2 linked regions of the Oryzias latipes genome follow. The protein of the gene in region 2 purifies or fractionates together with the protein of the main gene of each other region. This does not show direct contact. Links are inferred from orthologs where the notes say so. Each region holds a gene or a part of one and is shown on either strand. Other genes may lie near its edges.

The links.
Region 1: the proteins of usp33 (region 2) and robo1 purify together in Homo sapiens (affinity purification with western blotting; 5 studies listed by BioGRID and IntAct, with this or other methods). This does not show direct contact. The link is inferred for Oryzias latipes from reciprocal best matches to the Homo sapiens genes USP33 and ROBO1.

What each region holds. Positions count from the first base shown.
Region 1 is NC_019871.2:9,337,221-9,352,668, forward strand, and holds the end of robo1 (roundabout homolog 1), read right to left. Parts: intron 14,565-15,448; coding exon 14,522-14,564; intron 12,947-14,521; coding exon 12,792-12,946; intron 11,044-12,791; coding exon 10,657-11,043; intron 10,096-10,656; coding exon 9,979-10,095; intron 9,091-9,978; coding exon 8,946-9,090; intron 8,720-8,945; coding exon 8,489-8,719; intron 7,480-8,488; coding exon 6,995-7,479; intron 6,912-6,994; coding exon 6,750-6,911; intron 3,128-6,749; coding exon 2,852-3,127; intron 2,764-2,851; coding exon 2,573-2,763; intron 1,473-2,572; coding exon 1,458-1,472; 3' UTR 262-1,457; downstream 1-261. UniProt on the Homo sapiens protein: Receptor for SLIT1 and SLIT2 that mediates cellular responses to molecular guidance cues in cellular migration, including axonal navigation at the ventral midline of the neural tube and projection of axons to different regions during neuronal development.
Region 2 is NC_019875.2:4,218,153-4,233,600, forward strand, and holds the end of usp33 (ubiquitin carboxyl-terminal hydrolase 33), read right to left. Parts: intron 13,010-15,448; coding exon 12,863-13,009; intron 12,743-12,862; coding exon 12,634-12,742; intron 11,174-12,633; coding exon 11,104-11,173; intron 10,017-11,103; coding exon 9,903-10,016; intron 9,762-9,902; coding exon 9,683-9,761; intron 8,445-9,682; coding exon 8,000-8,444; intron 7,328-7,999; coding exon 7,187-7,327; intron 6,982-7,186; coding exon 6,866-6,981; intron 6,635-6,865; coding exon 6,462-6,634; intron 6,367-6,461; coding exon 6,296-6,366; intron 6,209-6,295; coding exon 6,175-6,208; intron 6,062-6,174; coding exon 6,016-6,061; intron 5,930-6,015; coding exon 5,749-5,929; intron 5,608-5,748; coding exon 5,481-5,607; intron 5,372-5,480; coding exon 5,202-5,371; intron 3,209-5,201; coding exon 3,127-3,208; intron 3,029-3,126; coding exon 2,920-3,028; intron 2,219-2,919; coding exon 2,116-2,218; intron 1,654-2,115; coding exon 1,585-1,653; intron 1,467-1,584; coding exon 1,309-1,466; and 2 more. UniProt on the Homo sapiens protein: Deubiquitinating enzyme involved in various processes such as centrosome duplication, cellular migration and beta-2 adrenergic receptor/ADRB2 recycling.

The sequences.
Region 1 (15,448 bases), on a different chromosome or scaffold from region 2:
GACAGTGCTCTGAACCATTTTTCTTCAATGATTTGTGATCCTCACTAGTGTCCATGGATTACATGAAATCTTTCCACCTTTATCCACCTTTGTCATGGTAGGAATAACACCTCAACATAGGGGTGGAGTCATCTAAGATAGCACAAGGGTTAAAGCCTCTTTTTACCTTAATCTGACTTAAGTGATCAAAGAGGAGTATGTTCTATGAAAACACCTTCCCACAAAAATAACAAATGTTGAGTCAGAGAAGAAAAGCTTTTTATAATTTGTGTTTTTTTTATTGATCTTTTTTTATTATTCTTTTGCTTTACGAAACAAATGTTTGCAGATGTCCTATGAATAAACAACAGCACCCCTTTTTTTTCTTCTTAAAACATGGCTTTATCAGCCCTTTTCGTAACAAGAAAAGAGACTCTGCCTCTCCAGATTCCCAAAGTGACGGATTTCCTGTACTGGACATTCATTTAAGTGCATTCGTAGGCAACGCAACCATTTCGAGTAATGTGCAATAGCTGATCTTTATGGTTATCGTGAAAAGGATATTTACATTGCAGCTATGACTCACATTTACTACCCTTTTTTCATCACTTGAGTTAGCGTAAGAACTGGAGAGGGAGACAATCACCACAATAGAGTCTCCTTTCAAGCGCAGCTTTTGTAGAAAATTAACCTTTACCTTCCTCACCACCATCATCATCATCATCATCATCATCAGGATTAATAGGCTTGTTTGTCATACCTTTTTTTTTCTTCCAGTAAGACAAAAAGGTTAATAGATAGAATGGTTTAAAATAAAGTTTAGTGATTGTGCTTTTAAAACCAAAGTAAAACAAAAACATTGATGATGACACAGAACAAAGCAGTGCATTACAAAACAGAACACAATTCCCAAAGTGGCACTTTCTCGGAGAGCTAAATAATATAGCAATTTACAAACATGGATGGAAATGATAAAATAATATTATTTAGTGACATAATAAAATTATAATCTGCAAAACAAAACAAGGAAGAGAACTTTGAGGTACCACAATGGGTAAACAAGGAGACACATATTTACAGGCAGTTCACCCTCTCAGCTTGCAGCACTTCTGGTACAGTAACATCAGACTGTATGCAAGTTCTTGAAATGTCAAGCCGAGTTATGTCAGTGACTGGAGCAGGACTTTTCTCCATATTGCATTGGAATTCAAACATAAATATACCATTGTATGTATTTTTGTTTTGAACGCGTCAAGCTATTAACTTTTTTTTTTCTCATGGACATATCAATGATAAGTTAGAAAAGAAATACAAAACACATTGGTCTGTTGTCCAAATGCAAAGAAACATTACTGATGGAAGTTATGATGGCAGCCAACAAGATGATGAAATACTGAGATATTTAAAATTGTAAGAGAAACAATGGTGCTCCATTCTTGGAAAAATCTAAACAGTTCCTTCGTTTCCTTCTCTGTTCTTCAGCTTTCCGCTATCTAGAGGTAAAAAAAAACACACACAGAAATGCTGTTGTTAGCTTCACATGAACTAACAGAATATAAATCAATATGGGTGAGAGATTTTTAAAAAGAGACGAAACTGCATAAGTGAGAATAAATTGGATTGTGATCCTGTGAAGAAAGCCCCTGTCATCACATGTTCATCAGAGTCAGTATTGCTGCATAGCACTATTGACTTCCAGTGACATTGCTCTGGAACTATGATCCATATCAGTTTAAACTGTGGTCAATCTAACATGATTACACTCAATCATATGTATGAGTTTATTCATTTTATTTCCTTAAGCGACTGCAAGATCATTATTCATTGTGAAATTGCAATAATGATAAATACATTTACTATAATCCAGTATGTCCTATGTTTTATTCTTTTATGTTTATAGTGAAACAAATAAAACAAAAATTACCATCATAACTGTAATTGGTTTAGTAAAAAAAAAATGTTTATTTTATCATCAAAATATTATTTGTTAACCTTTTTGGATTAAATAAAAAATCATATTTAAATGTTAAATGCTATGTTCACACTGGCAACACGCGTACAGGAGAGTAATTCAAATGAAAAGTCTAAGTAAACATGCGTAAGTGCCCTTAAGGCCGCCGTGGTAAAAACTCTTTTGTTTGTGCGTTGCTACGCAACCTTTTAAGTCTGTTATCAGGCTTTACGTACAAAACGCTTTGCCACTGACCCGGCATTGAAAGTGTAACCAGTTGAAGATTGACCAATCAGGGGGCCAGGGATTCAATTTTAAAATAAAACAATAATTAGTAGTGACGTATGGGCGGTGTCCAGTTCGCGGAACTGCCAATCGTCTGAGATTTTATCATGGAGGAGAAATTAATAATTGCGGTTTGCGCCTGGACGGAATGTTATGACTCCAAGTATTTCATATGCTGGACTATAGAGCTGTGAAAGAAAAAGCCTGAAGCAAGATTTATCAGATTTGCACCGCTTCGACATTGTGCACCACGCCTGCTCGATAATTGAAGTACATGCGCATAGTTTCGAGAAGCAACACTCCAGTGTGAACAGCATATGCTAAAAGTCTAAAGGTTTTTTAATTATAAGCTTGCACCTCTAGTTCATCATCTCCTGGGTGAAAGGCTCCAGAGCTGTTAAGACCCATTTCTGCAGGATTTCTTCGGCTTCCTTCTCTCCGTCGGCCCCCAGAACCCCTGGATGACATAGAACTGGAGGAACTTGGATCTCTGGGACTGTTGACGCCAGGGAACTGGGGCCGGCTGTAGGGTAGGATGTCTTCTGATCCTTGGGAGCGAGACAAAAATGTAAGACTTAGGAGTCAAAACACTGGAGATGACTATAGAGGACTGCTTTAATTGGGAAACGGTAGTACCTGGATGCTGCCGTGATTTGATGCCTGAGCCACTCTCAGTTTTACTGCCTTTCCCTCCCAGAGCAGACTTTTGTCTGTCCTGGCCGTCTTTGCGCTCAGACGAGCTGGGTCTGGTCTCAAAGCTTTCTTGGGGTCTGTAGCCACCAGGTCCTCTTCGCTTGTCACGAACATCACCGGCTTTTGGGGATATGATTCCTCTGCCCTCCAGAGCTGCTTTGGACGGATGTGTGGGGGACTTGAGCACTGCTGGAGGAGGAATGGGCGGGGGTGGCAGATCTGGTGGATAACAGGAAGCAAGAAATGTTAACCTCACCCATCTAAATGTTTTGTGTGAACTACATTTTTCTCAGTTGTCTCACATCTGCAATGTTATTCACAGACACAGTTTTCAACATTTCTCCAAGCAGACTGAAAACGAAACCCTTCACATGAGAGAGGCCCAAAATTGTCAAGGTTACGAGATTTGAGCAAGAAACAAGAAGGAAGGAGGAGGAGCGTGGCGCTCAGCAGCTGGCTCTCTGTCCTGCTCGACTTCCCCTGTCGATGAATCAATGCTACTTGTCCTTGAGCCATTATTCACATGAGAGCAGGCAGTGGGCCGCATGGCCTCTCACACATCACAGAGGCATCTAAACAGAACGTGAGCAAAAAGCCTTGTCGGCCTTCGATCGATGGCTTCTCATCTTCTAATCAGCTTCCAACCCGAAGGATAGTTTTGTTGGCACACCCTTAAACCATGCATGATTTAAAGATGAATGTGGACTGGCAACTTTTTGACTTTGCCTGCATCGAGTTAGAAGAGTGTGCAAAACTGAACTGGACTGAGGGAATCAAAGCTGTTTTTTTTGTTTGTTTCTTATCCGCAGAAGGCGGATGAGGCAGGTGATGTCTTTGCTTTGCTCTTGCTGGCAGAAACGGACAGCTTCAGTGCACCTTTCTGATTATCCTCCACCCACTCTCCCTGAATACAAAAGGGGGGCGGTCAATATCATAGAGTAAAGAGGCGCCTGTAGATTTTTTTTTTTTTTTTATTATCCGTCTTGCCTCCTGACTTCTGCCTCAGTCAGAGTCAGATCAATGCCACAGTTTGTGAGCTACAGCTCCCTACACAGGAGGAGCAGCGCGCCTATTAGATTTACGAGGAAATATCGGCGAGGACAGAACTCAGGTCTGAAAAGTGTCTCTGAGTTTGCCAAGGAGGATGGATCTCAGGGCTTGCTGGTTAATTAAGCAGACAGGGTTGAGACAGATCAGAAGAGACAGGAAAGGGTTACGTTCAGAGGAGTGGGTAGACGAAGGCATCCAAGTCAAACACTGTATGAATCATAGGGGGAATATAACAGGGGTATTTCACCATCCACTGTGCAAAGACAAATTAAATGACTAGGTCAAGGAGGGGTAAGCAGTAGGGAAGAAGGAAGGTTGGCATGTAGGGGTAGATTGGTTATCTCTCCTGCTTGTTTATTTGTTTTCCTGCTTTCTGCATTTTAACTCTCGATGCGCGAACATTTTTGGTAAAGGTGCCGAAGCAAGAATTGAAAGACGTCCAAAAGAGCAAGTCAATCGTGCATCCACAGAACACAGCCTTTGTGGCCCTGCCTTTGTTCTAAATGTCATTCGATCACCTTTCCTCACCTCTCACCTAAACGACATTATTCCAGACCACAGGCAGGACAAACAGGGCGGTAGGTTTGGGGGGGGGGGGGGGGGGGTAGTGAGGCAATAAACTCCAAATGAAAAACAATCCATTCAGATCAAATACAATCAGCAGGAGCACTGATAGACAGAACTGAGGAGCTGTCACTCTGCCCCCCCTCCCAACTCAAACAAAGACAGCAGACAACGCGAGGTGAGAGGAGGGTAGGATGGAGAGATCACTCCAAAGGGAGGGGCAGAGGATGGGGAGGAAGCCAGGATGTAAGGAGGCGTGGTGGTGGTGTGTGAGTGTGTGTATGTGTGTGTGTGTGTGTGTGTGGGGGGGGGGGGGGGGGGGGGGGTTGGTGGCAGGATATTCTGCAGTGATATAGCTGGTCTGGCTCCCAGTGAGCTGGATATTAAATCTCCCTGTCAAGTGCATCCAACACTCAAGGACACCTGACACTAAGAGCAGAGCCAGCTCCAGGGCGGCATGTCGTATAGATAGATGCTGCACAATCGCACACAGATACATTTAAGAAAGAAGACAAGAAACGGGAAGAATATTCATTTCCATTTACAACTTGGCCTTTTTTATTGTACTGTTCTTTCCTTTTTATTTTTCAAAATCGTTACTACAAAAAATCAATTGCTCTGTTACTTTAGAACTTTGAAGTTTTTTATTGTGCTAAGAGCTGAAGTATTCATCCTAGTTTATCTAAGTTCAAGTTCAAAGTGAAGAAACATTCACGTGCCAACATTGCCAAACTAAGCAGAACTCTCCTTCCAAAGCTCCTCTTCCATGATTTCCCTATAACCCCTGGCCTGCTGCCCACAATTTGCTCGTCTGTTTAGTAATAATAGAGATCAAAAAATCTGCCACATATGCATGAGGTTGCTTTGCTGCACACCTATACCTGGAAATTTACAAACACTATATCCCAGTTAACATATTTTTATCCTTACATCTCTGTACAGGAGCCACTGACACAAACCGGTTATATGTGAGTTAACAGGATGCAGCTGCTTGTGCATCTATTTATTTAATAGCCCGATAAAAAACTTGTTTGAAAAAAAATGTACAGCCCTTTTCCAAAAAATTGGAATATTATAGAAAAGTGTTATTCATTCAACTAAACTTTTGTGGAATATACTACTAACCCCAGTTTAATATTACTTAAATTGGGGTTCCAGCTCATAAAACCCACAAAAAAAAAAAAAAAAAGATTTCAAAAAGTACAATAATTTGGAGAAATCTGCCCAAATTTTGTAGGATAAATGAAATTCACAAACTAACCATCTACTGAACTCAAAGCACCTGCACAAGTTCCCCAGATGTCATTAAATTGGTTCAGTTCGGTTCAATATGGGGAAGACTTCAGATTTGACAACTAACCAGAAGACCATCATTGATCCGCTACATAGTTTGGGTAAGCCACAAGAGTTCATAGCTAAGGAGGCTGGCTGTTCACAAAGCGCTGTGTTCAAGCAGGTCGAGGAGGAGAAGATGGACCAACAAAAGAAACGACGGTGGACTTCAACCGATTATCAAAAGGAAAAAGTGGAATGAGTGGAGGGACAGCTTCAAAAACCACCGCTTTCAGACATATTCGGGAGATGGGCTACAGTTGTCGGGTTCCTCTGGTAATATCTGAGCCTGGGCCAACAGGGAAACATCTATACTGGTCAAGGAGAAGGAGGACCTGGATACGAGACCCTGGCCCCTGCCCATACTACTGAGGTACTGAAGATGGACATGTCATATTGAAAATACTTTGTTTTGATAACTTTGATGTAATCATAATTTCTGCCTTTAAAAAAGGTAAATGGTGATTTATCCACAATAAACATTTTTGAAATCCTATTTTTGTGGCTTTTATGAGCTGAAACTCTTATTTATGTAAAAATAATACTTGAAATCAAATTAAAAGAAGTAATCCCTGGATATATATATATATATATATATATATATATATATATATATATATATATATATATATATATATATATATATATGTTTTATTAAAGTACTTTTTTTTATGTAATTATGGAAATAAATACACTTTTGGAAAGGGTCTTTATGCCATCCTGTAAAGAAAAGAAAAAAAAAAGCCCTTAAAGATTAGACTAGAACTCCCACAAAAGTCAAGAGTTGTGGATTTGCAATTTTAGTTTATAGAATTTTTCATCTTTTCTCACAAATTTAATCTACATAAAACATGAACTCAAACTGAGCTTATAACACATGAAAGCATATGTGTACCTTCACTGAAGGCCTCACGTCGTTGGTTCCCTAGGTGACCCGCAGAGTGCTGTTTTAGCTTTTTTGGAGGCCTCCTTTGTATAGCAGCCATGCTCATATTACTGTCTGTAGACACCGGGCTGCTGGGACGGTGACTTGACTGGCTTATTTGGTATTTTGGCGCTGAGGAAAGAGACAAGACAGTCGTTTGTTTATGCTGTTCAAGAAATTTCTTCCACTAAAGGCTGCTAATGAACTGATGGTACCTGGAGCTCCTCCTGCTTCCTGGCCTTGTGAATTTGGGTGCTTTCCCACCCTGAGGCCTGAATACTCTGCAGCAGCAACAACCGCTTGAGCAAAATCGGCATCTGTGAAGAAGGATCCGTCTGAGGAGCTAACAGCGCTGGACCTCCCTGACGAAACATTGTCCTCCTCAGAGGCCGAGCCCCACCCGTTGATCATGGAGCCGGTCACTGAGCTCTCCAGATCACCCATGCTGGATGCTGGTGTCTGTTCAAGCCCTCGTAGTAACAACCTTCGTGCGTGCATTTGAGGGTGGTGGGGGTGTGTGTGATGGAAGTGCATCTTGGCTACTTCAGCGTCTGTCTCATCACCATCCTCTTCGTCTTCTTCCATTATACCCTCCTCCTCCATTCCATCAGTGTCCAACCCCAACGGGCTGCTGATGAACCCGTACGTGTGTGAGGGGGAGAGTGGTCTTGGAGGTGGTGGGGGGCTCACAACATGGCGCCTAAAAGAAGTGCATTTTATCAAGAGAAGTATAATATTTCAAATCAATTTTAATAAAAAACATGTATAAACAAATAAACTGATCAGTGCTCGGTCAAAAGGACCCAGATCATAGCTGCTTAAACTGATCTAAATGGGTTTGTCAGGTACTTCTTTCTCTCAACGTTAGTACATGATTGACTTTTAGGATTTAATGCTACGGTCAAATACCCAACACGACACACAGTTCCAGGCTTCTATATGGTCTCATCTCTGACATAAATGATTTTAAAGTCCCACTCCAATCATCTTCTGATTGGTTTTAAAAGTGTTTCCAGTGGTCTTTTAATTATGATTATGTAAATTTTAGCAAGTCCTGTGTTGTTTTCTAGAACGTAGTTTCTGCAGAGCGGAAGTATTTCATTGGAAATTTGCCTCTTAGTTGTAGGCGGAACTGTAGGTGCCCTGTAAACCCTCCCTCATTTTCCATCTATCTGTTTACACCCTCTCCCACTACAGCCCCTCACAACCCTAACATAACATTACTGGTGCAACAAAAATGGCAAACAATATTGGAGTTATCCAGACGTACAGTACAGTTTTAAGCCAGATGCCGGAGGAAAACAAGACGCACATGGATCTAGTCGTCTACAAGTGAATGCATCAGACTGGAGCAGAGCAGGGAGCTTGTGACCAACCGAATGTACCTTCTAAGTCACTACTACAAGCTTTTTCAAACTGCTTTTTTTCTTCTGCTCCTGATTCACAACAATTTGAAAGACGTTTAATTTTCTTTATCATCTTGAGAAAAAATGCCATATTGGAGTGGGTCTTTAAGGGCATTTAGACATTTACTGTAGACTTATTTCAGCTGCCACCTTGTACTGACTCTAATATAGCAAATGACTCCCAGGAAGATAAAACTGTAATTCAAAATTAACACACGTGTGCTTTTCTGTAAGACTCAAAATAAGAATATGTGATGGTTTGTCATTACAGACTTGTTATGAGATGAAATACTACAGGTGTACCGGCGTTCGTGGCTGTCCTGAGCATCCTGGAGCATTGGTTGCATCTCTTCCTGGGGTGAAGGGGTAAGAGTGGCAGTGGACTGGTGACTGTAGGACACTGCAGCTGGGGAAGAGGCCGCCCCACGGATTGGAGGAGTGGGCCCTCTTTCCATCTCCTCCTCTTCCTCCAGCTCATCGGGCTGCAGGTACATGTGAGATGGGGGCATGGGGCACTGCATGTCCGGATCACAGCTGCCAGCAGACACAAACAAGCTTCGTTAGCATCGTAACATGCTGGGAAAGGCCTTTATTCCTTGAAGCCAGAAAAGCATGCAATAAATATTCATCCTTCGATCAAGGTTTGACATGGACCCAGCACAGACAACACCTGGAGCAAATACTTGGAATGGATACCAAAGAATTGATGAAACTGGACCAGTATTCAAATGCATTGTGTGCTCAGACTGCCTTTGTCTACCTTTCATCCATCGACAGAGAGTACTCCTCTGTGCTCCGACTCGGGGGTGGGTTTGCAGGAGGGGGAGGCAGAAGGTCAGCCCAATTCATTGTGCTTTGTTTGGGTAGTTTGGGGGTGCGCACTCCTTTCTTATGACCCTGACTACCTGCTCAACAAATGGGGAAAAAAAAGGAAAGCTTAATCCCAGGATTACTTCAGATGCAAATAATAAAGTAAATAAACAAATCAATTATTGATGCAAGAAAAAAAAAACACATAAAAGAAGCTTACAGTGGATAAAATGAACAACAGTGGCAAAATGCTTATTTTATGTCAGCGTTCACACCTTTGCAAATATTAAATGGTGGAAAATACTGCAGAATGAAAACTGTGGAAAAAAGCGTTTAATTAAAGCTAGCCCACTAAAACTGTAAACCAATGAGCTGTGATGTGCAGCGAGAACTAAAGGCCTCATCTTAATGGCTTGAATTTCAAGTGCAATATCAGAATGGATACGTGGCATTAAGGTGGCAGCGTTGCATGCCGCCCAGGATGTGTAGTCATTTGTCCTTGTCCACCGACAGACACTGAAGTCCTGATGAAATTATGCAGATCCACACTGATTTCAAGTAAAACCATTTAACTGAATTAATGAACACACAACAAAAGTGATGTAAATACAAAGCAAAACAACAAAAGAGGAGCAGAAATGATAGAAAACAGATACTTGTATCTAATTTATTTTGTTTAGCCTAGAACAACAAGGCACATTGAAAGGAAAAAATACGAGAACTGAGCAACTTGTTTTCTGTTTGACTTGGAAGTCAATCAGATTAAGACCTAAACCAAATCTTATTAGTGTTTCAACAATGATTTATTGCCTTTTAGAGATAAACAAGAATTTTAAAATCAGAGAATGTGATTATATTTCCATTACAGCAGGAAGATGAAAACATTTTGCACTTCAAAAGGAGCCAAAAACATAACCAATCAAACAAAAATCCAATTTTATATGGATTTTTTTCTATGTTTGGACTTTAAAACAGCCTTGTACCTGACGTGCTGCTGCTGCCTCTGTCAGAGCTGTTGTAGGACCCCCCAGTGTGGCTTTCATGGGTCTGGTTGTAGGGGATGGTGGCTGGCATGGGACTGTCACCTCCTCTATAGCGATCTGTTGGTGGGACAGTGTAGCGCGTTGTCACAGCAGGCATAAATCTTGAGGAGTTGAGCCTTAAATCGTGTTTGGATTATGAGACTATTAATTAAGTAACTGCACATGCAAATTGTCATTTTAGGTAAGTGCGTGAAACTGAAACATGCAGCATCTGCACAAAAACTTTGAAGCCACATGTTCTACTACACATGCACGTATAGGTTATGGTAGAATCAGTCATTGTTGCCTTTTTCTATAGAAATCTGATGCCACAGGTCTCCCCTCACACCTGCCTTCATCACAATGCCACATACCACAGGATGACAGCCTGGTCTATATTTAATGACCATAGGTAGCATAGAAAGTGATGAATGGTTACATGGTTACAGACAAGCAGGGAGACACAAAAATGCCTAGATGTGACTGAAAAGGTTGACATAGAACCAATGAGCATGAACTCTTCCACGGTGAGGCCGAAAGAGCCAAGAGAGGACAGAACAGGAGGGAAAATTGAAGAGGAGGAAGATAATGGCTGAGAGTTAACCTGTGCAACCGCTGCTGGGTTTTCCTCACACTCACCCTTGTTTAGTCGGTTTTGCTCCATAATGCTGTACTGCAGCTGGGAGCCCATTTCCTGTTTCTGCTGCTGTATTGAGACAGGTTTCCAGCAGTGTTTCTCATTCATTTCCCCTCCTCCCCCAAGTCCACCTCCACTCCCTCCGGTCCCTCTGTCTGGATTCATGTTGTTGCCCAGGATGGAGGACTGGATGAGCTGGGTGGTGGCATAAGGTGTCGGCTGACCGCCAGGACCTACAAAGCGTCCATCTTTGAGGTTTGGGCTGTTGAAGGTCTTCATCTCATTGATCTTATTGGACAGGTCCACATCTCCATAAACTCCTGTGTCTGGTACCAAGAGGTTGGTCTGCTTGTTTTCCATCTGGCTGTTATAATTGGCGATACAGTCCGCTGGAGAACATGAGGAGGGGATTCAGTCAGTCTTTTCTGCAGCACATCAGCTTTGCGGGAGCAAACCAGTCAGGTAGAAGATTGAAATAAAAACATTTTTTTTTTTTAGATCACATCTTAACAGAGAAGCTTGTCTGTCTATAATTTAAGACTTTGCACTGTTTGCCAAATATTTATCTGACCCTACAATTCAAAGTGTATTAAGGTGGCGTTACACCTTTCCCGGTCTATTCTCTGCCTAACTGATGACTCAGAGCGGGTGTCATCTCGTTTTTTTTTTTTTTTTGATGGTATAAGCATCCTCATTGAAAGGGACAGAGAGACATGTCTGTATCAAAGACATGGAATGAGACATGCAGTAAAAGCAAGACTTCGCTGACAGATCCAGTTTTCCTTGGCTCATAAAATATTCAAATCCTCCAGCAGATCTGAGAGCCAACCTCGTGGTAAATACCAAAGACGGCCATAGGTACAAGCCGCTCGTGCCAGGCGCCTCACATTTCAGCTCAACACTTCAAAGGCCGATGTGTGAAAGCACCCCTATGGCTGAGATAAAGGGACATTAACTCCTATTTCTTTGCTCTGTCACCTAGTCAGTGATCCTCTTAATGTTCATAGAGTTTAGTTTTGGCACACACACAAAGCATGCGACCGGCAAGCTCCTTAGCGTTATACAGGGAAGTGTCATGCAAGAAGTGAAGACTGCCTTTAGCCTGTTATTGCCTGTTAAACATCTCATCGTGTTCAACCTCAGAGGGGTGATTAGCACCAAGAAAAACTAAACTTGACTAGAAAACCTGCAGAATGAATTATTAATCCTCACTGGCAGAGGTTTGAAGCCAGGAGAAACTACTGAGTGGTTGGTTGGATATTAGGCTGAACAGCTGGACAGGAATTATGTGCCGCCATCAAAAGCAGGGCCCCACCGTGCACAATTTAGAACATAAAGCATTTCTTGGCAGTCCAACTTTCCATGGTGAAGGTTGTTGTTGGTTTTCCAGGCTGAATTTCAGGAAAGAAGTCTCTATATTTAGACTAATGTATAGCTGCAGCATGTCCAAATTTTAGGCCACATCAGCCTCTTTTTAAATGAGCTCAAGTGTGCCGCCAAATCTATTCAACCTAATCTCATTCACATTCCCTACTTCTGTCCACGAATCTTAGTATCTGCTTAAGCATGTACTTATCCTTCACTCTTTTCTCTCCATTTTTATCTGCTCCTCCAGTTACATCCTTCTTCTTCCATCCTTTTCTCTTTGCCCTGCTTCTGGCCGTCGTCTACAGACCAGCCTTGACCTCTTCGCCCGCTGCACAATTCTTAAACAACTGAGCACTTAGGGGAAATTACATTACTGGCTATAACAACTGTATGGAAATCAGCAAAGCAATTTGATTAGCAACAGAGTAGAGCTATAAGCCCTGCTCAGTGTACTCCGGTTATTTCCTGCCTAAAACAGCTCTGCTTTAACCTCAGATAAATCAAACACGTGAGCACAGAGTTGCTCCTAATCCTAATAAGTCTCCAGGTTCTTCTTCAGGAGACCTATAGAAAGGAGAGACACATACAACAACTCTCTGGGGAGCTAACCTAGAAATCAGATTGTACTGTCTTTTATACTGCAGACTCCCCTGGCTCCCACCTTCCTTATCTCTGCAGTTATTTTGTCAAGGACTGCAACACAGCCTTTGAGAGAAGTGCTTATTTTGGTCGATCCCTGTATGACAGAGATGACACCTCCTGCACATACCTGGTCGGCTGTACGTCGCCAAGTTGCTGTCGCTGTTTCCGTTGCCTGCAGTGCAGCAGTTGATGCTGCAGTCATTGTGGTTGGAGCAGGAGTTGGGCCATGTGTCAGCCAGCCAGGGCTGAGTGGCAGATTCCCCAATGTTTAGCAAACCGGGTCTGTAAAAACATCAGTCCCAAATGGTTAACAGAAAGGAAGAAAGTAAGCTTACAACACAACAAGATCCATGTCAATGGAGTAAAACACCAGTAGGAATAAAGAGTTTCAAAGGGGAGGATTAGGAGTTTATTTATCCCGCTGTGGAGAGGAAAACCGAAAATCCTGGTTTAGTACTTTTTTCCTTTTGGCCAGATGCTGGGAAAGGGAGAAATAAAACCCAGTTAAATAGACAGTGTGTGTGCTCAATCTGCCCCCACAGCCTTTGACACTTTTTCTGAGACATCGTGAGTATTAGCAATCTGTCTGGATTAGACAGACAAATAAAATTCACTCCTGTGTTCCCAGAGTAAATTCCAGAGCATCAACCATTATTAGTTTCAAAAGGTCTTTAAAGATGGAAAACAGCAAAGGATAACTTGTGTAAACCCATCTGAACAGTTTCACATCATCACATATTTTATTTCTTTAAGCTTCAGCAGAATACAGTTAATAACAAAGCAGATTATTTATTTATAGGGATTCCATGACACAACCTGACCTTACATCAAACAGCGGGTGGAAAAGGAGAACAAAACGGCCTGTTTTTGCTGATCGAACTGAATAAATGAGGCATAAAAACAGAAGCCAATATTCTCTTACATGGCCATATATTGTTTTGGTATTCAAATTTGCACAAAATGACTCCCGGTCTGCATATCCCAGCACTGAATTGCATTTCCTCATTCCATCCTAAATGACTCATTTCTTGGATTCATTTGGGGTAATGAAGGCATTTGTCTTTTACAGCCAAATACAGTCGCACAATATCTCCTCAATCACCCCGCCACTTGTATGTTGATATCGAACCTCCATTGTTTTTGCGCAGCGCTGACACAGCCGTTGCTGCACACCGAACTCAATCCACAACGGGGTAATATAATGAATATGGATTTACTGTTGATGGCTTCAAGCTAAACTATTCATTAGCATGTGCAGAACACTCAAACACACTCACAGTGCAGCTTTAAGCACATTCTATACCATAGGCAAGAAAAAAAAAATAGACAATTCTTTTGTTTACCTACAAATAATAACATACCAAGGCCAGCTAGTAAATCTACAAATTAGTTTCGGCAAGTCGAATTATGCAGTCTTACTGTTTATGCACAAAGCACCATTCCAGTGTACCAAGAGGTGCGTTTTAACTGCTAAGTGGATACAGCTCCATTAATGTTTGATGATGATGCTATGGCACAGCCTGGTGGTTGAATGTGGATCCCCCAACGTGTGGGATGAGGATGGGCTCCTGACAAACTGCATGGGTCTTTGTTCCTGTAGTGTTATTTCATGTGAGCACCTTACTTTCTCTCTGCTCTGTGCTGCTTTCGAAAGGCACAGCTCTCCCCCTAGTGTTTGCTTAAGGAAAACACACAAGCCCAACCCTGTTCATGCCTTAAAGGATGGTAAACTTTTTTTTTTTTTTAAACAAAGCTTATTATGATGAATATTCTTTAAAAAAATGTTATAAATAGTAAGGATTCAAATACTTTTAGGAAAACGCTCTATTTAAAAAACAAAACAAAAGAGGCTCTCACCTTCCAGCACTGGTGACACCCTCTCCGCCTCTCTGATACGCCACTGAAACAAATAGGCAGCAATGAAATTTCAAAATCTGTCCCATTTTCGGTCAAAAGCACATGAATCCTTTGACCTAATATAGGCCGACATGACAACTGACACAATGCAGTTTTCCAGTCTGTTCAGGTAAACATGCAAAAACATTTATGTGGCATAATTTCAGCTGAGTCACACACACACATAAGCAACAGGAGAAGGAGAAACAGGAGGATACATAAGAGGCTTACGAAGAACAAAGATGTAGAGCTCTTTGGTCTTCTGGCTCGGGTACTTGGTGTTTGAAGCTCTGCACGCTGCAAGTTTAACTCTTTCAAGGAGCTTTAAGCTGCTGGTGTGTGAAGGCGAGATAAACTTCCTACTTTAATTACAATCTTTACCCTATAAGAAGACCAGGTGGGGGAAGGAAATTAGGCATGTTTCTTCCCTGTCCATTCCTCAAAACAGGAAGTGTAGTCTGGTTTCTGTGTTTAAAGACTCAGTCCAATAAAAATTGTGTTTTTGGTGTTTTTAGCATGCATTTTTGTGATTATGGAGGACATATATAAAAAAAATTAAGCTTAAAATTGCATTTTTGAGTATTTCTTTATCCAAATCGTTTTGAATAAGAAGCAAACAAACCAATACTGCTCGCCATTTTTTTTGCACTGGCAATGTTAAGTTGAGGTTGTGAGGTTGTAAGGTAACGGGGGAGTCTCAACAGATAGATGATGGAAACTGTTGGCAGGCTCTGCGACAACGGTCCCCCGCCCACCACTCAGAGGCAAATTTCTACAGAAATTGTCTTAGAAATCTACACTAGTTTTTATTTGCTTTCGCCTAGAAACAGCATAAACATATTTAAATGACCATTGGGAACACTTTAAAAATAGATCAAAAGATGGTCG
Region 2 (15,448 bases):
CAAGCTAGCTGATTGTTCCGCGCATAACTTTGCCGATGTGCAACTGTGAAGCCCACAATTACGACCACACACACTTTTAGTGTAAGAAGACATCAAAGTTTGGGAATTTCTTCAACTAAAAAGGACCCGGCTGGAAGTCTAGTTCTAAACAGCTTTTTGAAGCTTAAGAATCAGCCATACCTCACTTCCGTAAATTCGCTGCACGTTCGGCCGCAGCCATGTTTTCAATCCAGTCAACTAGTCGGGGTGTGTGTGAAGCGACTCAGCCGCTCTCCCGATCGTGCGACGCCATCCCGTCAGTTCTCTGCTCCCGCAGAGTCCGAGCCGTCGACAGAAATCCCCCGAATTCCCTTTCCGCGGCGGGTGAGCGCGCGCTCTCCGAACGTAGCGCGCCCCTCGTTTGTCGGCGTTTATCCCGCAAACAGTCCAAGAAGTATCACGCCAACGAGGGCAGTGCTCAGCATCGATTCAAGTTTTAATAGTGTCCGCCAGCAGAAATAAAGGGAGACCTCACTTTATTAGCAAAAACTTGGAGAGCAGCATTCAGTGGATGAAGCAACACTATGCCCATAGCAAAAAAATAATGCCTTTAATTAATAATGAATGGATGATGATTGGGTGCTACAATGGCATTTCCATAGCTGTCCAGAAGTGAAGCATGCACATTTTGAGTGTTAAGCATGCTTTAACTGCAGTGGGCCTTCAAATACAAAAATACATAATAAAGCAACCTTCTTAGTGATGAATAAGCAAGTGCTGAACTGAGCCAACATCCTAGGAGTACTGATACATTCACATACAAATCATGAGTACGTCTACAGAACAGTGCAAAACAAAAGTCTTTCCTGAGACTAGTCAGAAATTAGTCCCTTCATAACCTTTTACATAGTCATCACACACAGTCTCACATTTTGCAATTAATGCCGTTCAGGGGACAATACTTTTTGTACAACAGGAAAGAAAATGTGATCTATTTACAGAGTGTATTTAACAACAGCAATACCTACGGACATACAATTTGTGCTCATTAAATCAAGAAAAAAAATGGCATTCTGAGGAACTTTTAGCTGCTCATAAATTACATGAATCGCAGTGAAAAAACAATCACATGAAATCAACAGTGCCAAGAGAAGTTCAAGAGCTCTTTATACAGATTATTACAGCATAGCAGACCTCAGCATGCCTTCAGACTGTCGGTTAGCGGTACAAATAGGGTCCTTTGCTTGAATAAATGTCCAGTGCAAAAGAAAAAAAAGGCTTACTTTTATTCTAAAACGATTTTTTCATTGTTTATTGTGAAGTGTTTGGTTAAATAGAGCGCGTCTCCAGCTCAATCTTCTCCTCCGACTGCGACGGCTCCGTTTCCTGGTGATTGACGTTCGGTCGAAATGTCACCAGTGGGCCTCCTCCGTAGATGGAGTGGAGGAAGTTCCAAGTCTCTTCGGAGATCTGTCCAGAGTCTGCACCTGCAGAAGCAACACCTACTAGTCAAAATACGAGCAGCTTTAACACCATGCTTATCCTGTGTTTGGAGGGCAGAGAGAAGCACGGTCGCTTAAAAGCCTTAGACCAAAGTCCTTTTACCTTGTCTGAGCGTCAGATGTCCATTCTTATTTGCCGTTATCTTGGAATTATCGATGGGTCCTGGTATGTCTGAAAGAAAAACACGTGTTAGCTGTCCAGACATGTATGCAGCAGGTCTCATGTACTCATTGGGAAATTGTTTAGAAATGGGAATTAGCCCACAGAATTCCTGTCCTGCTGGAAAACACTTCATGCTTCTCTTTTACAAGAAAGATGAGAAACAAACTGCAGAGGAGCAATGTCTGAACATTTGTTTCAAGATGCATAAATTGAACTGACAATTGAAAGGAAACAAAGCTGTAGCAGAAGAGACAAATGAGACAGTCGCAGGGTTTTTGAAGACAAAGAGGGGTCTTTACAGTTTCTTTTAACCCAAAAATCCATTCACATTCTATTTTAAAAAGCAGGTTTTCCACATTATGGCATGAACACATCATCCGTTTCTTTTAGTGGTCTAATGTTCATCACCGTACATCCCATTTCTGGGGGGCAACTTTAAACATGACAGGGGGGAGGGAAGGCTTTAATTACCATTGTCTTTTCCCTTGACAAAGCCCTCCCACTCGCGGAACCACTGCATGCTGATGCAGTATATGACCACCGGAGACTCCTCCTCCTGGAACGCCTTATTCAGCTGGAAGAGGGAGCAAAAGGGAGGAGGGGAGAGAGGAAGTGGGGGAGGAGTGAGCGGCAGACACGAGGAGGGAATAAAGGCGTAAAGGGACGAGGGGCAGAGAAAGAAGACGGGAGGCAAAACAAAATTAGGTGAGGATGAAGGGACGAAGAGACGAACGACGTGAAAAAGCAAATCAAGTCATTTCAATTAGAGGACAGCCAGTATGCCACTGATACAGTCTCTCTTCCTGTTTCTGTGCATTAGCTTACCCTTGTGCTATCTGAGGCACGTAAACGTTGGGAGTGGGGTCATCTGGACCCCACTCCCAACGTTTACGTGCCTTGGATGCATGTCAATGTAAGGGTGGGGTCATCTGGACCCCTCAAGACAGCACAAGGGCTCATTGAAGCTTTTTCTTTCACAGATACACAACACATTCATCTGTCCCACTGTGTAAGCGTGCACACTGAGCAGCTACTAACTGCTGCATCTGCCTCAGTGCATTCTTGATAAGGCTTTCATCTCTTTCACTCCTCTCATCTCATCTGCTGTCAGCTGAAGAACATCAACAAATCCAGCCCATCAGCCCCTGGAGCTGACTGGAGGACAGGCTTTATATGAGCTCCAGCTGGAACACAATGCATTTAAACTCACACCAGTTTTGGTTCGTGTCTCAGTGGCGAGTACAGACGTTCAAAGACCAGGGGAGGAATACTCACGCGGACAAACAGGTCCAGCTCGGACTTCCGGCGCTTTTCTAGTTTTTCTAGATCAATCTGGCATGTGTGGCAAACGTACAGGTGGTTGACAGCAGGTCCTCCTCCGTACCTGCATGCAGCGACACAAACACACACACACAGCGTAAATTACCCCCACAGACTAAATGACACTACAACTGCTGGACCTGAACACATCTGAGCACGTACCTGCTGTAAAGGTGATCCCACACGTTCTGTGGCAGCATCACTACCAGGTCATCAATGAACGACGCCTTGTTGGGGGGAACACCTAAAAACAAGGAGACGCTGTTGAAAACGGGACACGCTGACTCAAAGCAGAGACATCTGATCCGAAGAGGTGAACTGTTACGTCAGGATATAATTATGACGACTGTCGACAATCATTAGGAACCGTTTCACTTTCCTCCACAACACATTTAGTAAAGACGACTAGACGAGGAATGCAACAATTCCCCAAAATTCAGTTTAAACCTCTATGTTTGGGTCACAGTTTTAATCTGGCTCAATATATGATTAGTGTTTTACAAAACAACTATAAAATAAAATACAAAAAATGATTTTGCTAATAAGTAATTAAAGATGCAATACCATTCAGTTGGCTCATGCCAAGCCCGGTTTAATGAAAAAAACAATATTAAAGGCCTATATTATGTAAAATCAACTTTTTTGAGCTTTTAAGTGTAACGTTATGTGTATTCTTCTCAAAAACAGCCCCAAAGTGGTATTTTGATCCATTCACTCATTTGTGTGTATTCTTCTAAAAATCTGCTCTCTGAGCAGCAGCCCCTCCCAATCCACAAATACGAATGGGCTCTTCCATTGTGACATCCCAAAGTGAGGAACCGCCCCTTCCAGGAAGAGTCTGCGCTGCCAGCCCCGCCCCCAGGCTAACACACACGCCCACTTTCTCAGTGGAACTAGCGGTGATTGGCTACAAGCTCTTATCATATATGCACTCAATGAAGATGCATCTTTTCAAATATTTTGGATGTTGTTTGTTTTCATGTGCGAAACACAGACATGCTGCCAAGGCCGGCTCTAGGTTGACGTCATGAAATAGGCGGTACCCACAAAGAGCGCAAGGCGGAGCCTCAAAGATCGAGTCGTCTTTCTTCCGTGTAGGAAAATGAGCTGCAAAAGTAACTTGTATTTTTAAAAAATTGTTCTTTAGTGTGCCAAAGGTAATATACCATCAGATATATGGAAATAGTTTACTCAGAAAGGCTCAAGAATAGCACAACACAGGCCCTTAAAATATATAGAATTTAGCAGAACACTCATTTTAAACGTAAACAGAGTGATGTAGGGATGCAACCTTCCCCATGATTCGGTTCAAACACAGGGTTTGGTTTTAAACCAAGAACTGTGCCCTCCTAGTAAATACCCTTCAAGTGAGACATGCAAATGTAATAACACATTTAGTTTCCCTCTACACAACCATATGCTACCATTCATATTTATGTTTGAATCTATATGTATGACTGCACTGAGCATCCTTTGTCCTACAGCAAAGCCTCAGCAGAACCGTTCTCTGTTCCCGTTTTTCATCAGAGCTCAGTCATTTTCAGTTCTGTGACTCTTTTCCTTTTTATCCGGAAACAGAGCTCCCTGTTTGAAACCCTTTGTGGCGTCTGTCCCTGGTCTGGACCAAAAAGGCATTAGCTGCATAAAGAATCTCCGCCTGAATGTGGTGGAGAGGTTTGCCGAGGCATCAGACAAAAGAGAGAGAGATTTAGCAAACCTGCTGATCACGAGAACAGTGGGAAGAATGGCGTCTCACATCAAAAGTTGAACTAGTCGTTTGTCACTAATATCATTTAAAAAATAACACTTGTTATTTCACTGAGTGAGGTGACTGGATGAAGTGTGTTGGGTAAACTTGGAGGAGGCTCACTTCACTTACTGGGATTGTAAACTAAGAGGTGCTTTGGCATTAAGCTTTTGCCATGGGCCATATGGTCCCTGGAAAGCCAGAGTGAGAACATTAAGAAAGTCTAGTTCCCGTGGAGTCACAGGGCTGCTCTTTGCCTTCAGTTCTGTCTGTAACCTTTGTGAAAGAAGTTGCACAGTGGACTCGGGCAGTTTCTAACCAGATGTCAAATGTAAATATAAGTCACAAGTGTTAAAAAGGAACCTCTGCTAAAGCTATGAGAACGTTACAGAAGATTTGTCAAAAACCAAAAATCCTCAGCAGGATGAAAGCAGTGGCTGCATTTTGCCAAAATGCAAAGAAGACAATTGGAAGGAAAGTTCCGACACACCTCCATGCACACACAAGAAGTCATCATTGGAAATGGGCCCTGGCTCAGCAAAGGTCTTGAACTTGTTCAGCCACTGGCGAGAGATGTAAAACTGCAGAAGGCTGGGCTCCATCATGTTGAATAAGTTTGACACCCTCCCACGTTCCTTCACGGTGTCCCCGTTGCTCTTTCTGTCACAGAAACAGTTCATATATTAATCCGCTGTAAGAAGCTCGGGGAATTTCAATGTCTCAGACATAACCGAGAGCCTGAATTATTCATTCTGGGGGGTCAGCTTACTTATAGAAGAGCACATAGGCTTCAGCGTTCTGGACACAGGACTCAGACACCTCGGTCACGCTTTGGTCGTCAAACTCGTACCACAGATTGTTGGAGTCATTCCTGCAGTACGCTATGTAGTGGCCACCTGGGATCAGACAGGGAGAAGAGTAAGAGCAGCGTCCGCAAACCCATCCCTGTAAAAGAATGTCATCAGGGCGCATTTGTGCCAACGGATGGCAAATGCCCCGCTCTCCGCCAAGAAAGGGGAGTGACGGCGCCCACTCACTGCTGGCAGTGCCGTGGTGACAGATGACGGACAGCAGGTCATAGTTGGTGGTCTGGGCGGAGCTGTCTTTGGACAGAAAGGGCTGCAGGTCCAGCCCCTCAAGTGGGAAGGACACATGGGTGCTTATCTTGGTGGAGAACATCAGCTCATGTCTGAACCGCTTCAGATGAATACACAGGATCTGCAGCAGAGCAAAAAAAAACAACGTAGATTTAAAAAAACTGCGGGCCATAAAAAAACTGCTTCAACATCCAAAATGATTCGCACCTCTGGCAACTTTTGCATTTTACAGAATTTGACTCCGTTTCGTAACCTGAAGAGGAGAAAACGAAGAGAAAAATCACTTCAATCCATCCTTTGCTGTTTTTCATTAGAAGCAAATTCTTGTTCAGCGAGGTGTAAATATGAAGCTTTGCATTTACTAACTTTTTGCATTTTTCGCAGCTGTACATATTGTCTCCTGGAAAACAAAAAGATGCAGTTATTGATAAATCAATCCAGAGATTTGAGTTGGACAAAACCGACATTTGTTCCAGCACTTCATTACCTTTTAATTCGTCTCTGGCAAAGAATGCAGCCAGACAGTCTTGTAGTGTAACCACTGGACCCCAGAACCAGCTGGAGAAAAAGCACAGAGGAGTTATTTACCCCAACAGCAGCAACGACATGCTGTAGATGGAACAGGGTTGTGTTCCTCTATCATACATGCGTACCTTTTGATGTACTCCATGACAAATGCTATCCACCCCTGAGCTGCATACGCCTCCCCACAGGAGCCAGCTTTTACCAGCGAGGTCTGGTGGGTGGATGAGTGCAGCTTGGCCAGATCTTCCTTTCCCGGAATGGGCAATGAGATATCCTGGAAATTCTCCAGGGTCACAGACACCTGACAAACACAAACCGCACAGCCAGCAAGGCGTTAGGAATCCTCACCTTTAAGATGTTTCCACACGGCAATGTTTTACCTACAGGTTAGTCTTTCAATTGGAGCAAAACCTCACAAGTATGATTGAGCAGTCTTTGAAAACAACTACAGAACCCTACTGTCGGACCCTTTCCCATTAAACAGGACTGAGACTTGAGTTCAGCAGGACTGTAGAGATGTAACAACACTAACCCGATCACAGGTGAGGCACTGAACCGAGCTCACGATGGTCCCATCGAAGACGTCTGAAATGATACTTCTGTACTTCTTCTGCCGCTTGCTCTTCGTTGGGGAGAATGTGGTGACAGCTGGACGAGGACAGAGGCAGAAATGTGAGAACATGTATAGATTAGCACGCAAGTCGACAAAAAGACAGAACACGAGGTTACATTTACCCGTCCTTAAGTTTCCAGCATTTAATGCAGATTTGACTGATTGCAGGGTTCAGGTTCACCTCTGAGCCTCTGCCACACACACACACACACACACACATAAACACACTGGGATTTGTACCTTTCTTGTGAGAAGGGTTCAGGCTCGGCCAGCCACAGGCAGCTTTGGGCGGGCTGCTGGACAGTTTGGGAATGTGTCCCTCCATCGAGACTGGACTTTGTGGTCTTGTTGAGTTGGACATCTGGATATCTGGAAAACATTCTGGCGAGAGGAGAGGCGGGTTTTAATTCATTTTCTTTTGGAGATCTAAAGCTCCAGAAGCCGCTCAGGAATGTCAGGTTATCGGTGAACATACTGCACTGTTGTGAGGATGTCTGTGGGATGACTGTGGTTTGTCTGCACTACGGAGGCAGCCTAACAACCATACATAACCTCAATGCTAAACATGATTGTTCACAAATTAAAAATAATCCTTTCAATGATTTTACTTGACTTTATCATGAATGTCGTCATTCATGAAGTTCACTGCACATGCTTTATGAAGTAGAACTCTTTAATATATATTTAAAGCAGAGTACAATTTTTAATTGAATTAATAGGCATATAAGGGATCAGATTTCAGCACATTAGCTTCTTTATGAGAGCTCAGCAGTGCAGATCACATCCTCAGATCTTCTTCTCTTCTTTACTCCCATTTTAGTTTGCCTTTTTTCAGCTCAGCATTTCTGCTCCTGCCTTTTGTTTTCCAAGTTTCTCTCTTTTCGCACATGGCTAAAAAAGGCTGGGTCATTATCAGGCTTCTGCAGATTTCGACAAAGAGCTAATGAGCGGTTTGATAATGTGCGATGGAGACTCTGGGAGATCTGGAGAAGGTCACACAAAGATAAACCAAAACAGCAGGTCGACTCCTGAATTGTTCCGCCTCATCCTCACCTGATGATCTGCTTTGGACCTTAATAGCTCCTTGGCTGCTGATAATGGGTTTGGTCTCAGACGTGGTGTCAACATCTCTGTCGATGTCCACCCCAGTGCTTCCACTCATGATGACATTGACCCCGGAGCGGTAGAGGTCGTTAATCATGTTCTTCTCCTTCTGCCACTCCCTGTTGGCCTGGACCTCCTCTTGCTCAGGAATCAGCATCTCTGCCTCATTGGTGTCGCCCATGAGCTCATTTCCACCCTGCACTTCGTTGTCGGCTCTGTCGCTGCTGCCGCAGGATTCACATGACTGAAAGTCATTGTCTGATTGGGTGTGGTTGTCCTCCTCCATGCTGTCCCCCATGGCGATGCCGTTGGACAGGTCATTTGGTTCTGGCATCGGCTCCTTCAGTTCCTCGTGCAGCTGGTCCATCAAGCAACGCAAAAACTCCTGCGAGTCCTAAAGGTCCAGTTTGAAAATAAAAAAAGAAACTACAGTTTATCTTGATTTCTTGGAGAGAACTTAGAAAAATTGGATCTGGAATAAGGCTGCACGATATGAGGGCAACTTGCGATTTACGATATAACTTGGGATACGTAAACAAATAGCAAAACAACTAAATACATTATTTCCATTTCACTGCAACAGTTTCACTTAAATAAAAGTAAACATAACTTAAATTATGCTCCAAATGACCCTCGTCTACATAGTCATCTAACATCAAAGGGCTCCACCCGATTGGTCAAATGCATAAAGGGAATTATTTCATACGTTAAATACTTGCAATTTTTGCAGACTTTTGCGATATGCGTATTGCACAGCTGGTTGTCGCGATAACGATAAATTTGCGATTTTTTTTGTGCAGGCATATTCTGGACCCTGTTCAATTTGAAGCAAGGAAAATGTCCATTTAAATACAACTTAATGCCAGCGTTGACAAACCGAATAAAGTGTTTTCCACAAATCCTCTCTTTTCAAATCAAAAAGGACAATCACTTTACATTTTGGTTCATCTCAGCTCGTCATGGCCAAATCTAAAACCACGTGCTAATGAATGTGTAATCAAACTTAACGAACCTCAGAAATCCAATCTCCTCCTTCAAGCCAAATTAAGCCTGGTCTCCCAAGAGCTGAAACGTTAACTTCCTTCACGGCATTGAGGCTGTGCAGCCCAGCGTGGCAGAACAAATGAATATTCCTCAGCTAACCCCTTCAGACAAACACAAGGATGGGGGCACTTTTCCGCCAAACAAAACCTTTTCCCAGAATCCATCCGGGTACAACGAGTCTAACGTTTCGGAAAAACTCCAACAGTAAAATGAACTTTTAAGCTTTTTGTGGATGGTGTTCAACAGGCATGAAAGGGTTTTTAAATTAAGAATTAAAGGCACTGTTTGCTGAGCAACTTAAGCCAGAACTAATGGGGTTTCATTCAAGAGAAGTGTGTGATTAGAAACAAGGAAAAATGAGGGACAGCGTAGAATTTTAGGAAATGAGGATGGTCTTAAAATAACCCCCAGTTTAGCACGTGATCAGAAAGACAAAAACATCCATAACAGAAGATTACTGTGGTTTGAGGTTAGGATGCACAGCACACTGCAGAAAATGTCCTGAACTGCGTACACTGTAACCAAAGGTTTTGTGGAAAATGAAAACACTGATATTGCAAATGCATTTCATCAGCCAGGATGACCTACCTGCTGAGAGTAGCCTCTAAACATGGGGTTGATGGCTTTGATCCCCTGGAACAGGGTGGTTGGAACAACATAGGAAGGTCTGAGGAGTGAAAGAAACGGAGCCGGTCTTGAATAAGAGCGGTGGGGAAACTACAGCACAGATGACTCAGAGAGTCATAAGAAGGACCCCGAAACTGAAAAATGTGCATGCAAAGGGAAATAAAGGGGCTGGTATTGGTACCTGTTCTTGTGCCACAGGTCGGACACCAGCTTCTGGTAGCTTTTGCAGAGAGCCGGCTTCTTGTCTGTTTTCACCAGGCCACCACATTCAAGAAAAAACTGCGTCAAGGGCGGACTGCAATGAGGGAGGAGGCACAAATAAAAAATAAAATATCCAGTCAGAATATACAAAATAATCAAATTAGACAACATCTATGGCAGAGTTACTCAAAGACAAGTCCGTTCTTTTATATTAAATTAGATTTTTATGAAAAAATGAATAAAAGATGGACAAAGAAGTTGGGTTTGTGTATTTCATTTGATTTTTTTCTTTTATTAGTAACACAAACCAGAGCAGAAAGACACTGAAGTGACGAGAAAACCAGCTCAGAATACATTTCCTGATGCAGGCAGAATCCACAGGAATTAAGCAGATAGATATTAATTACAGAGTAAATGAGGCATGGAGGGTTCTCCGGTCCCTGGCAAGAGGGAAGGCCTTGAAACTGCAGGTCGGTGCAAAAGTAAGAGGGCTGCAGCGTTCCCGCAAACAGACATCAAAGGAGGGTTTGGCTGAGCCTGAGCGTCCCTCCTCCTGCAGCTGCACCGTGCCAGGAGGAAATCTAGATTGCTAATTTTGACCCACATCTTTTTTTTTTCCTGGTTTCATTTAAACCGAATGCAGTGTCCACAGTTCTGTTAAAACATGGAGGGATTGGGCTCAGAGCTAAAGTTCAATTTAAACAGAAAGAAGTAAGCTATTTTATGAAGTGATACATTTCATAGAGGACAATACAGAGGCTTTAAATGAATTAAACTGCCAATATTACTGCAGTAATGACCAATTAGGTGGAAAGGGGAAAAAAAAAGAGGTGATGCTGGAAAGAGGAGGAGGAAAAAGGAGACGCCGTGAAAGAGACGGACAAAGATTTGACATTGATTTGTAACTGTAGAGCCTACAGGGAACTACAAAAGTCCACTTCTGGCGTCTCAAATGGTGCAGTGCACCAATCCGCTCTCAGCCATCACTCTCCCAAATGAGCACAGCGATAGTCATTTCTCACAGCCTGCAAGAGGCAGCCGGTGAATAGAACCGCAAATGGATTCAGAGAAAAAAAGGAAAGTGTTAAAAGTGAGATCGGTGGGATCAAAGTAACGGGATGGAGTACCGCCGGGGGAAAAAGAAGGAATCCGAGAGGTTGCAGACGAGTGGAAAAGCTCACCAGTTGGACAGGGCCTGCAGGGCGGCGTTCATGTAGCAGGTGTTGCCGATATTCTTCAACCCCGACAGGCCTGATGGAGACAAAAAAAAACAACACAGCCAGAGTTCAAACAGGCTTTTTAATATTTAAAGGGTCTCCATGTTAGCATGACCTAGTTTGGATTTCGCTAAAAACACATGGAAAGAGGTTATCTTTTGAAAAGTGGTTAAAGTACTCGAGTTAACACACAGGTTATACACAATGACATGTTTCACAAAAGAAGCATAGAGAGAATTCCCCAAAAATAATTTGTACATCGTCTGCCATGATTAGGACTGTGTTTCTGTGGTCACTGGGTTCTAAAGAAAACCCAAATACATCTCTGACCAATCAAAGTATCCTGTTGAAACCTCTGAATCTTTCACGTGTTGAAAATCTCCCATCTTAACGTCATGTGACTGGTTGGAAGGAGAGCGTTAGCTGCAGCTAAAGCGGGCGAGGTTTGCCATGACGCAGCGCTCCTGATCGTCCGCCCTGTGCATTTTCGCTCTACCACTAATCTGTGGAGTCTGTCAGCTTTTCACAGCATGAAGTGAAAATACGGTTTACATTAGTGGCCCTGATAAATCCACTGAAGAGCACCACACCACTTAGTGACAACGATAAAGCTAAAAATCTAAAGTCTAATCTAATCACGGCTGCAGAGGGTACAGAGGACACAGCCGAAGATAAGAAGCAAACGGAAGAAAAGTATTTTTACGAGCTAATGGAATGCTCCCTCGGAGAGATGCAATGATAAAGGCGTTTGTGCAAATCTGAAGGAAGGGTGAGGCAACACATGAGCTGCTGTTTCACCAACCCAGCTCCTCTGCAGACTGTGTGCTTTAGTAGAGCCTTAGCCAAAGAAAGAACTGCTGCTTCATTCAAAGGCAGAATCTCCCCAGACTTCTGCCCTGCTGTGTGACCTGCCCTTTCACTTGGGTCACTCCCAGAATGCCGCTACTGCACTGACTTTAAAGACCCACTCCAGTGACAATGTTTTAGAAAAAGACATTTAAGATTAAAATGTAATTTGTGGATATTTATTTAATCAAACTGTTGTGAATCTGGAGCAGATGCACAAATGCCGTTAGAAAAAGAGAGTATTTGTGAAGGGAATAGGCTTCCTGCTCCACTTCGCAACACTATAAAAGAGGGAAAGGGGGGCGGGGTTGCTCCACTCCAATGGACCCACCCACAACTCAGAGGTAAAATTCTAATTCTAATGTCATGCTTTTGCCTAAAATGAACGTAATCATCCTGAACAGATCACCGGGAACACTTTGATAATAGATCATGAGATGAGCAGAGTGGGACTTTAAATGTATTATCGGTCTGCTTGGTCAGGCCAGTCCTACTAGACATCTGTGGGAACAACTGACAGCACATTACGACATCTGAGCTGCAATAAACTGCTTCCTGGGTGTTGTTTTGTAATTTATCTGCAATGCTGCAAACAGAACAAAAAAAGAAATGTCTGTGTCAGTAATGCTGGGGCCTGCTGAAGTTCACCTCTGACTCGCATGTCATCCTCTTCCTCGGTGTCCATGTCCAGATCTTCACAGCCCCCACTGGAAGGAACCCTCAGAGGAGTTGGGCTCCCCGAGTCCCTCATGGCGTCCTTGAAGACCAGCACACAGAATTCGTCACCAACGTCAACTCATCAGCAAAGATAAACAGGATGTTTTGTGAATGGGATCCAACAGAACTTTGATCAGGAGACGGGGGGGGGGGGGGTTACCTGAACGTTCTGCGGTGGGGGGAGTGGTTTGAAGCTCACATGAGGAGAGTGAGGGCCCAGCTTACGCTCCAGGAAAACCTCCTTGCTGCAGGAGTAGCACCACACTCGAAGTGTGGTCAGATTGACGGTGAGGTTGTGCCTGGACTCCTGCACAAATAAATGAAGGGAAGCATCGTTGCTGAGGCTTTGACGACCACAAAAACACGCCGAGCCAGGCAGAGAGGACCCAACAGAAACACAGAAAACACCTTACTGCCTGATGACAGATGCGTTAAATAACCTTCTCTGGTGAACCGACAGCAGCTCAAAATCTTTTCATCAAGTTATCATTTTCAGTCAAAGAAGCATCTTTGTGTGAGGCTCCGCCCACAGACTGCCAGTGTCCATCTGGGTCTAAAGTAGAAGCTCTCTGGTGGCGTCCCTGGACCCCCCCTGCAGAGGTGAGCCGGTCCCTGGAGGAGCGGTGAGCCGTGATGGCTCTCATGTGAATTTTGCTCAGTACTGTATCGGTGTACATGAGTTTAATGAGTTTAGAGCTTATGAGAGGAGCCAGAGGCGGCGAGCGGCAAGCCCCCATGGCGCTGTCAGCATGGCCCGACTGGTGTGACCTCACAGCAGAAAGAGGCTTGAACCATAGCCAGACAGCAAATTTGTCTCAGGTTTCTTAAGTTGGACTCAGACGGGTTCTGCTGGAAACAAGGCTGGGCTCTGCTGACCCACTGAGACCAAACACCAGACTGAACGTGACCGGCAGTGGACCGACACCCTCCATTATTCATCAGAGCAGCACGAGGCTTGAGCAGATGAAGCAGAAGGGAAACGTCTTCATTTAAATGCTTCATGAAAAGAAATTCACCAAGAAATGACCCCTTCCAACAAGAAGACAAATAATGATGCTTCTCAATTTTTAACCATCTTTATATTTATGAGGCCAAAAAGCCACTTCAGCAGCCGAAATGCCGAGAGGGAAAAAGGGAACCGCTTGTGATCATCTCAGCGGTTATCGTCATGCCAGCACATTTTTTTTCCATAGCAAAAACAAACAAGGCTGAAGTATTTGCTTTGTTGGTATGCAGTCTTTTTAGGAAGCATGGTTGGCCTCTAGCACCAGGAAAACATATGGACAGTCCTAAATGCAGTAATAAAACATCTTATTTGAACTCTCAGTCTCCAATACCAGCTTTCCGTACAGTTTGAGTCAACGTTTTAAGAATTAAAAGGGTCCATATCCTGCTTTTCTTAAGCCTTTCAGAGTAAACTAATCCATAGAGATGATGTCATCTGCGTTTCTCCCACGAAAACATCTGAACTTTTCCAAAGATGGATGTTCAGATTGTTCATATAAAAGGAAAGCGTTTGGCATGCGTGTTAGCATGGGGGCGGGGCTGGCAGCACAGACTCTTCCTAGAAGGGGCGGTTCCTCACTTTGTGATGTCACAATGTTTTAGTGGATTGAGAGGGGCTGCTGCTCCAGGGATTGACATAGCCCAGAAATTTGCACTGGCCCACAGGGCCAGTAGTTTTTGAAAGTTACTGGCCCGACACCGCGCACAGCGAGACCCGCCGCTCCGCAGGTGCTTGCAACTTTAGGGGGGTCCGGGGGCATGCCTCCCTGGAAAATTTTAATATGGTGCAATTTGGTGCATTCTGGTGACATCTAGCACTTATTTATACACTTTTCAATGACTAAAAATAGAGCATATCAAACTTAAATCTGCTCTAGTCTGTTTCAGATGTTTTGAAGAGAGCGCTGCAGTGTAGTAGGAAACACTAGTTAAGAAGTTTTCATGCTGCTTCTAATCACTGCTATTTCACATTTGTTCCTAATCAATAGTTAAGAAGTTTTATTGACTTTTTTGCCCTGACTGCCTTAAGGTTCTGCTTTTTGTTACTGTTGCAAAGTTACATTTACTTTTTAGTTACTTTAGTTACCTAATTAAATTAAATAATTGAAAAATTAAATACAATTAAATTACTGAGATCATTCAGCTAACTAGAAATACTTACTGCTTACAGTGTTGTAAAGAAAAACAAAATTAAGTAGTTTGACCTTATACTGCATTTGAGTCTGAGATTCAGGTATTTGGAGTTGCCTTTGATTCTTTGACATTCAGCTTAAAGCTTAGTGCATACAGTTTCATCTTCAATGCATTCATTAAATATCTTGCTGTCCATAGTACTAATTCCACCCGTCACTCCATCTAACATATTCCTATCTATTCCTGCCATGTCTTCCACATCTCTGACATGCTTCAGTCTCTCTTCAGTGACGGTGTTGGATTTATGATCATTGCGGTGAAAAACCACCAGGGGGCGCGCTGATATGAGTGTCAGTTTAAATATATCTGCCTAAAATGTAATAATAACCCACTGGCTTGTTACTTCGTTGTTGCTGTTTAACATTGTTTATTATTGAATTGTTACATTCAATAAAGTTTGAAAAAAAAATTGAGTGAGCGCGTGCCGCGTGGTGCTCGGCAGTGACAGCCGCGCGCGCAGGCGGGAGAGAAGGAGAAGTGATCAAAGGTTTCCCATAGAAACCCTTGAAGTCTGAACACAAGACTAGCAGAAAAAGTGAATTATAAA